2 linked regions of the Diceros bicornis minor genome follow. The protein of the gene in region 1 purifies or fractionates together with the protein of each later gene. This does not show direct contact. Links are inferred from orthologs where the notes say so. Each region holds a gene or a part of one and is shown on either strand. Other genes may lie near its edges.

Evidence for each region.
Region 2: the proteins of CDK19 (region 1) and MED12L purify together in Homo sapiens (affinity purification with mass spectrometry; 3 studies listed by BioGRID and IntAct, counting the BioPlex papers as one, with this or other methods). This does not show direct contact. The link is inferred for Diceros bicornis minor from reciprocal best matches to the Homo sapiens genes CDK19 and MED12L.

Annotation. Positions count from the first base shown.
Region 1 is NC_080762.1:24,560,883-24,564,787, reverse strand, and holds the start of CDK19 (cyclin-dependent kinase 19), read right to left. Parts: upstream 2,547-3,905; 5' UTR 2,396-2,546; coding exon 2,268-2,395; intron 1-2,267.
Region 2 is NC_080741.1:4,125,712-4,129,616, reverse strand, and holds the start of MED12L (mediator of RNA polymerase II transcription subunit 12-like protein), read left to right. Parts: upstream 1-1,149; 5' UTR 1,150-1,322; intron 1,323-2,113; 5' UTR 2,114-2,246; coding exon 2,247-2,345; intron 2,346-3,905. UniProt on the Homo sapiens protein: May be a component of the Mediator complex, a coactivator involved in the regulated transcription of nearly all RNA polymerase II-dependent genes.

The sequences.
Region 1 (3,905 bases):
ATCACAGTTTAGAACCATCACTAAAAACTTTTTGTTCTTTCAAATGGCTGGTATCAGTGAACATAAAACTAATCCCACTACCAACCCACAAGAGATGGGTGTTTATGGTAAAGCCTCAAATCTCAACTAGACCCTTGGCCCAAGAAAAAAAGCTTCATAATGATTTTCCTTACATGTAATATAGTGATTTAAACGAATGCTTTCAGATCCTAAAAGGTTTTTTAAAAAACATATTATTTTGAAGATACACAAACTGATCTTACTCTACTAAAGAAGCTCTATTAATTCTAATCAAACAAATTTCACTCAAGAAGGAAGTGTATTCGAATCAAGAACTTTATTAGAAGGGGAAATATTCCAAAAGAACAAATAGAAGCAGGAATTAAAGTATCTGGTTTTTGTTGTAGCCCATACTATTCAAATACAATTCAGAAGCAGAATTTTTAACTTTTTCTCAAAAGTTGCCTGCTAAAAGGAAGCTATTTTAACAACAAAAATATTTAAATACATTTTTAAAATTCCAGGTCAAGTATATTACAAAGTTAGCATGAGGATCATGAAAAAACACCACGTATGATTTGTAAGGCCAATGTCCAAATAGGAAAACTAGATGTGCTTTCCCCAAATATATCTGATAAGATTCCCACAAGAATACAAGTGTAACAAGCAGAGTGGATATTCCAAAAACAAAATACAAGTTAATTACAGTACCTCACATTCCAAGATACTCATGCAAGGACTCCTGGCAATTAACTCAAAGAATTATGAGAAAAGTTTAGAAACAAATGAATACTATGGGGCCCGCTGAGTTATAACAAGAAAAAAATTATTTGCAATAATAACAATCCTTTACACTTGTATAATACCTTCTAATTTTCACGATACTTTATGATAAAACAATTTACAGTTGTGCTTTTTCGTTTCCTGTATGAAATTAGCACGCACGCACACAACCCCCTACCTACTTTGGTCCTGGAGTTCATAAATCAACCGTATCAATTACAACAGAGTGCACAGAACGATAAGCAACACTGCAAATCTTACTAATGTCATTGTGGCTGATATTCAGTTTATTTGGAAATGTTCCGCTACGATCATAAAAACTCTCTTCCACATAGTTTCGCCGTCTTGAGAGTCTAAGCGGGACAGGCAGATGTTCCTGGGCTCCCTAACTCTGGGGGAGGGAAATTCCTGCCAGGATGGACAGCGAGGTGACCGCTGGTTTAAACCTACTCTTCGCAGGCCGGGAGCTGGTTCCACCTGTCCTGCAGTGGAGCCCGTCTGCCCTCCAGGACGAAGGACAGGCGTTCTCAGTACAGTACCCAGCTCGCCTCCTCCAGAGAGAACAATCAGTAAGGGCTTTCTAAGGGGTTCCTACGGGTCTCCCTCGACTCTCAGGAAAACAAAGGTTCAGGCCCAGCTCTGTGTCACTCCGCATTCCGTTCTGGATAATCTAGGTGCCCGAGGAACCCCAGCACGCAGTTATTTGGCAGCAGATGCAGAGGACATAAGAACACCCAAGGTGGGGGAAATGAGTTGCCAGAGAACTAGGCGGATTCCGAAGTTCTGCGGGCAAAACGCGGTTAGTCTCGCAGGAGGTCCTACATTCGGGGGAAGGTGTGGAATTCAGAATGTGAACAAGCGAAATCCGGGGCGGGGGAGCAGGGGTCCAGCAGTCGCCGGGCATGCGACAGGGACAGAAGGGACTGCACCGAGGGGCCAGTGGCTGGCCGGCCCCAAGGGCGGAGGTGCCCAGAGGATCAGACCCGTGAGGCTGGCTAGGACCCCGGCGCGCGGCCGCCCGACGGGCTCCTCGGCGAGGTTTCAAACCGCCGCCCCGGGAGGCGCTCCGCCGATTGGAAGTTGCACAACGACCGTCACCAGCTCAGGGCCGGAGCGGCAACTCCTCGGCGGAGCTCTCCCAGCCCTCCGCGTCTCCCCAGGAGACCAGACCCCGCAAACTCCACCTCCCACCGAGGTCCCAACTCCAGTCCCGCCGCCAGCTCCGCGCACGCGGAGGGCGCCCTCCGGGACGGACCGACGCCCCCCAACTGGGCTGCGCCGCGGGAGCCCGAGGGGCGCGACGGGGCCGCGCGGAGGGCGGGCAGAACCCGAGTCCCTCAGAGTCCGCCCCGGGACGCGGCCCCGCGACCACCTCCGCTTCGCCCCTCCAGCACGGCCCGACCGGGCTCCGACCCACCCATCCCGCGCGGTCGCGGGCAGGGCGAGGACCCGAGCGAGCCTACTCCCCCCGCCCCTGCTCTTACCCATCTTTCCGCCTCGCCTTGTAGACGTGCCCGTAGGTGCCGCGTCCCACTTTGCACCCTTCGTACTCAAACAAATCCTCCACCCGCTCCCGCTCCGCCGCCAGCTTCGCCTTGAAATCATAATCCATTGTCTGCTTCCCCCATAGAGGCACCGGGACGCGGGGGCCGCCGCCGCTCAGTCCCTCCTCCTCCTCCCCCCGCGACCGCCGCTCCACTTCTCCAACAGCCGCCTCTCGGGCGCGCGCGCGCCGCCCGCCTCCCCGCGGTCCGCCTTCAGCAAGGGACTCCTCGGCGGCAGCAGCAACCACCTCCTCCACCTCCTCCTCCTCCTCCGCGGCGGCGGCGGCGGCGGCGGCGGCTCCCGCAGGCACCCCCAGTCCCGCCTCCCCCCTTCATTTCCTTGTTTTGGAACCTGGTGGGCCGCGCCGCGGCTTCCTCGAGCTCATTAACGAACCAGCCCGCCCGCCCCGAGGTCGCAGAAGCTCCTGGGAAATGTAGTTCCGCAGACCTCAACAGCAGCCGAGTTTTACCCGCGAAAGAAATACAACACCCAGGTTGCCTTGGGCCGCTACAGCCTCGCCTCCACAAGGCATGCACGCCTGCGCACTAGGGCCGCCCCTCCCCCTCAGGTAGCGCCGCACTGCCAGTTCCTGTGAAGGTAGATAGCGCAAAGTTGCAGTGTGCTTTCTGCGAGTCTGTGGGAGCTGGTGGAAAAACGGCTCTTGTTCTGGTGTGCGGGAACTACTGCACCGTACCCCTGAGCGAGGAGGAGGGTGGAAAGTATTTAACAACCGCCCAGCCCACCAGTTTGCTCCAGTGGTTTGAGAGGCGAGGACTGTGGTTAGGACAGTTGTACTGCAGATTGTTGTTTGTTTTTTGTGGCAATTGGTCCGCCTGTTGCCCCGCCCCCCCGTCCAACCGCTCATTGGCGGAGACTGGAGAATGACGTTCTCGTTGGTGCGTGGGTATCCCCAGGGTTTGGCTTCTTTCCCGCTCTTGATTGGTAATTGCTTGCGCTTGCTTCTTCCTGATAGGTTAATCTTTTTTCTTTACCAAAACCGTATTTCAAAAACTGAACTTCCAGCGGTTTCCTAGTTCCAGCATCGGTCTGAGAATATGTAACTTTTTTTTAATTAATTTATTAAATGTGCTTCTATAGGGAATCAATATTTCTGTTTGTGCATATTTGGTATGGCATCTTCATATTGTTCCTGGCCAACAATATTCTGTAAAGTGTATTTTTGTGTGTGTGTGTGTGTGTGTGTGTGAGGAGGACTAGCCCTGAGCTAACATCTGATGCCAATCCTCCCCTTTTTTTTTTCCTTGAGGAAGACTGGCCCTGAGCTAACATCTGTGCCCATCTTCCTCCACTTTATATGGGACGCCACCACAGCATGGCTTAACAAGTGGTGCGTCAGTGCACGCCCGGGATCTGAACCTGTGAACCCTGGGCCGCTGCAGCGGAGCGCGCGAACTTAACGACTTGCGGCACCGGGCCAGCCCCAGAATATGTAACTTTTGAGCCCTAGCTGCCAATCATCCTTTTCTTGGCACTCTAGACGTAGTGTCCTGCTAGCATCTGCGGTTCCCATAGCCAAGCTTTGACCATCTGTCTAAGGACAATTAAAGCGCCTGGAG
Region 2 (3,905 bases), on another chromosome or scaffold:
TACACGCAGGGCGTTAATGGAAGGGAAGTCCTTGGAGCAGGGTGCAGAAGGCGGTCAGGAAATGCCCCCGGGGGAGGGTAACTGTTCTCTAAGAGTAATTCCTCAGGTTGAGTAAAGAAGACAGAAACTACAGGCCTGACTTGGCCTCAGGCTGAGTCGGGAGGTGCTAACGGGTCAGGGTCGGGAGCGGGGAACTAGATTCCACCACATTGTCTTATCTACCCTGTTCTTGCTTCCCTTTGCTTGAAGCCAGCAGAGGGGAGTAGATATTCAGATTTGGGCAACGCCTCCTACTATGTGCCAGGCGCTGCAGGAAGGCTTCGGGTAGATTCACCCGGTTGCTCCACCGTCCTATAAAGGATGGACCCGGGAGTCCGAGAAATTCCTCCAGGTGCGGGGAACGTGACACACTTGGGCAAAGGCAGTTCAGGAACCCAGTCCTTCCAATCCGGTCGTGGAGAATGGATCAGAAATTTGGGATCGGGCGGAGGCAGCTCTGTGGCTTTGAGCAAGTCACTGCACCTCCTTTAGCTCACTCAATTTCTCTATCTACAAACAGGACACAGTAAAACCTTATAAGGTTTTTTTTTAAGGATCAGGGACCTTTACTGTCAAGATCCTGGCACGAAGCGAGGGCTCCATAAATGGCAGCCATCATTCTTGGCCAAGTGCGGGCGCATCCTCCCGGCGCGCCTCCCGCGGGGTCCCTGGGGACAGGCCAGGCCCGCCCCCGAGGCTCCGGCGCCCGCGGCAGGTGGCCCAGCATCTCGGTGCCCACGCCCCGAGGCGCGCGGGCGGGTGGCACGACCGCGTCTCCCCCGGGGGCTCACCTCCTCCCTCCACACGCCGGGCAGGTGAGGTTTGCGGCCCAGGCCACGGGGACGGCGACCTCAGGCGAGGTCGCGGGGTCCGGGGCGCCCCCCGCCCGGCGCAGACTCGCCCCGGGGTGGCCGGCGCGGGGGCCGCGGGCTGCGCGCGCTGCGGCTGCGAAAACCCGGCGAGCGGATCGGAGCGCTCGCAGCCAACTCCTCCGCGCTCCGGCCCCGAGCTGGGCATGCTCAGTGCGGCCGCCGCGCGCCGGCCCCAACTCGGAAGCTCGCGCTCCGGGCCGTGGGGGCGAGGACGCCGGCGGCGCCGAGCCGGCGTCGCCCGCCGCCCCCGGGCAGCGGCAAACTTCGCGGCGTCCCCGGAGCTCGCCTGGCCGACACTGATCCCCACAGATCAGATCGAATCCGGTCCCCCCATCGCACCCCGAATCATGGAGGCTGCGGCCGCCCGAGCGCCGCCGCCGCCGGCCCCTGCCCACTAGCGGGGACCAACAGGTAAACTGCGGGGGAGGCGAGGAGGGGCGGCCGGGGGAGGGCGGCGGGTTGGGGAGCCCGAGACGCCGGGGCTGGCTGCCCCCGTCGGCGCTCCTCGCCCACCCTCCCCACCCGCTCTTCCCGGCCCCTGGAGGGGCAGCAAAGGGTTAAGTCGGCCCCGCGCCACCGTGAGCACGGCCCCCTCCAGCCGCTGCGACCGCCAGCTGCGCGCCTCGGCGCCTGCCCGGAGCCGCCGAGGGGACCCGAGCCGCCGACGCGCCACCGGAGCCCGGCGGGCGTCCGGGAGGCACCGGCCGCGTCTCTGCCTGCCCATCCCCTCCAGGCCTCGCTCCCTCCGCCCCGGCCGGGTCGGCGCCCAGGTGGCGGGGTCTGCGGGGCGCGTGGCGGCGGGGAAAGGATCCCTGCCGAGGTAGAGGGACGGGGGCGGGCCGCTCCGCAGTCTCTTCCTCCGGCCGGAGGACCACCCTCGCCTCGGGCGAGCACTTGAACCACCCGCCCGGGCGCCAAGAAAAGTTTTTTTTTCCCTGTGCTCCTCCCCCACCGCCACCCTGCGTCCGGCTGTGGTGGGTTTGGGTCCATTGGTGAAAAAAGTCACACGTTTCCATCAGCTGCTCCTCCCCCTGGGGACAGGGTGGGGGGACCCAGGCTGACCTCCACCCCCTCCGCCGCCGCGCCGGAGCGCTGCGTCCCGGGGCTCCTGCGCCGCCGGGGGCCCGCCGAGGCTGCCCCATCCGTGCGTGTCTGCGTGCCGGGCAGCGGCAGCATCCAACCTGCTTTCTTCCTGCCTGCAGCGCCACAGCGAGCGAGCGAGCCAGCGAGGAGGGGGAGCGAGGGAGCCTGTCTGCAAAGTGCTGCTCCCTGGTGCTCAGAGGCGGCTGCTCCAGCTCCAACTCTCATTCATTTCGCCGGTTAACATGAGAGATCATGGCCGCCTTCGGGCTTCTCAGCTATGAGCAGAGACCGCTGAAACGCCCCCGGCTGGGGCCGCCCGACGTCTACCCGCAGGACCCCAAGCAGAAGGAGGTAAGAGCGCCGGCGGCCTCCCCGGCCCCCGAGGCCGCGCTCCGCAGCGCTGACCCGGGGCCAAGTTGGCCCAGCGGGCATCGCCGGCGCTGCGGGGGAAGGGTCGGAGAGGGAGGCCGGCGGCGGGGGCCGGGCTTGGGGGCCGGGGGACCCCCGGCGGCGCAGCCCGCGCGGCTGTCAGTCCCCGCGCTCCGCTGGGGCGCTCGCTCCCTGGGTGCCGGGTCGCTTCCCCGTTCCCGGGCCTTGCACGGCGCCGCCGGGCGCTGCACCAGGTGCTTCCTTGCCGAAACCCTCCCGCTCGCTCTCCCCCGCTTCTGCCGGCTTTATTTTCCTCCCGGCTGCTTTAGTAAATCCTCGCAAACTTTTTGAAAAATGTTGGAATGCAGTGCATCCGACACAGGTCTTGCGTTTTGCGCCAGCTGAGCAGGGACGGGGGTGGGGGGGTGGGGGACCTTGTCTATTCAAATTTTCCAGTTGGGAGTGGAAGTCGTTTTTTATCCAGGTGATAAATATTTAGCTCTTTGAACGTACTTTTTTCTGTAATCCCTCTGCCCTTTAAAAATCAATATTGAGGGGAAACACTGATTTTCGTCCCCAGAGGCGATTGGCTTAATTGCTGGAGGCTGTTTTGTATATGTAAAAGCAGTCAGGTTATCTTGGAAGGGAGTAGTTCCCGGGATTGCTTATTTCTTTGAATGAAATTAATTGGAGAAACCTTGACTCTTGCGCTAGTTAGGCCAGCTTCAATGGCTAGAGTAACCATGGCATTTTGGGCCGTGTATGTGTTTGTCAGTAGTTAACGAGTAATTATGTAACAACTCGCCAGTTATAATGATCACCCTTGGCTACACAATTTGCCCAGGGATTTGCCTTTTTCTTTCTTTCTTTTTTTATGATCACCTGCTCCCCAGCTGCGCTTTCTGAGTTTGCCAGCTGCAGCCCACCCATCCTCTGTTTCTTCTGCTAATCACGAAGTGAGCACATTTCAGAACTTCTCTTGCTGGGAATCTAAAAACCTTCTATTAAAAGTTTACAGGCCCACTGACATCACAGAATGGGCTGTTGAAAGAAAGCAAGGAGGGCTCTTTAAGACTTCCCTTTTGATTTGATAAGTGTATCTGCTTCAATAATAGAGGAAGAATGCTTGTTCTGGTTAAACTGTTATAATGTTTCTAAAAAATAAGGAGTGACAACTCCTTTTAGAGGGTTAGCACGTTAACATGTTTGAGGCTGGTGGAGTCCTTCAGATTGAAGCTGAGGTTTTACAGGTGGTTCTCAGCAGAGGCTTAACTGTGAGGATAGGAGTTTGACCAGATTCTGCAGATTTCACTCCCTGCTGCTCCACCCCAGAATAAAGTTAATTGTGAAGGACTAGAAATAACAGACACCAAAGAATAAGTATATAGAAAGTTAATAACTTAAAAATTAGTGGCAGGAAATTCTTAAAGTTTTGCTGGGGACAGGGACATTGATTGGCCTTTATCATCTCATAATTAACTTGCCACGTCTTTCCAGAGGGCAACATAATTAATAGCATCTCCACAGTTAAGGGCCGGTGGC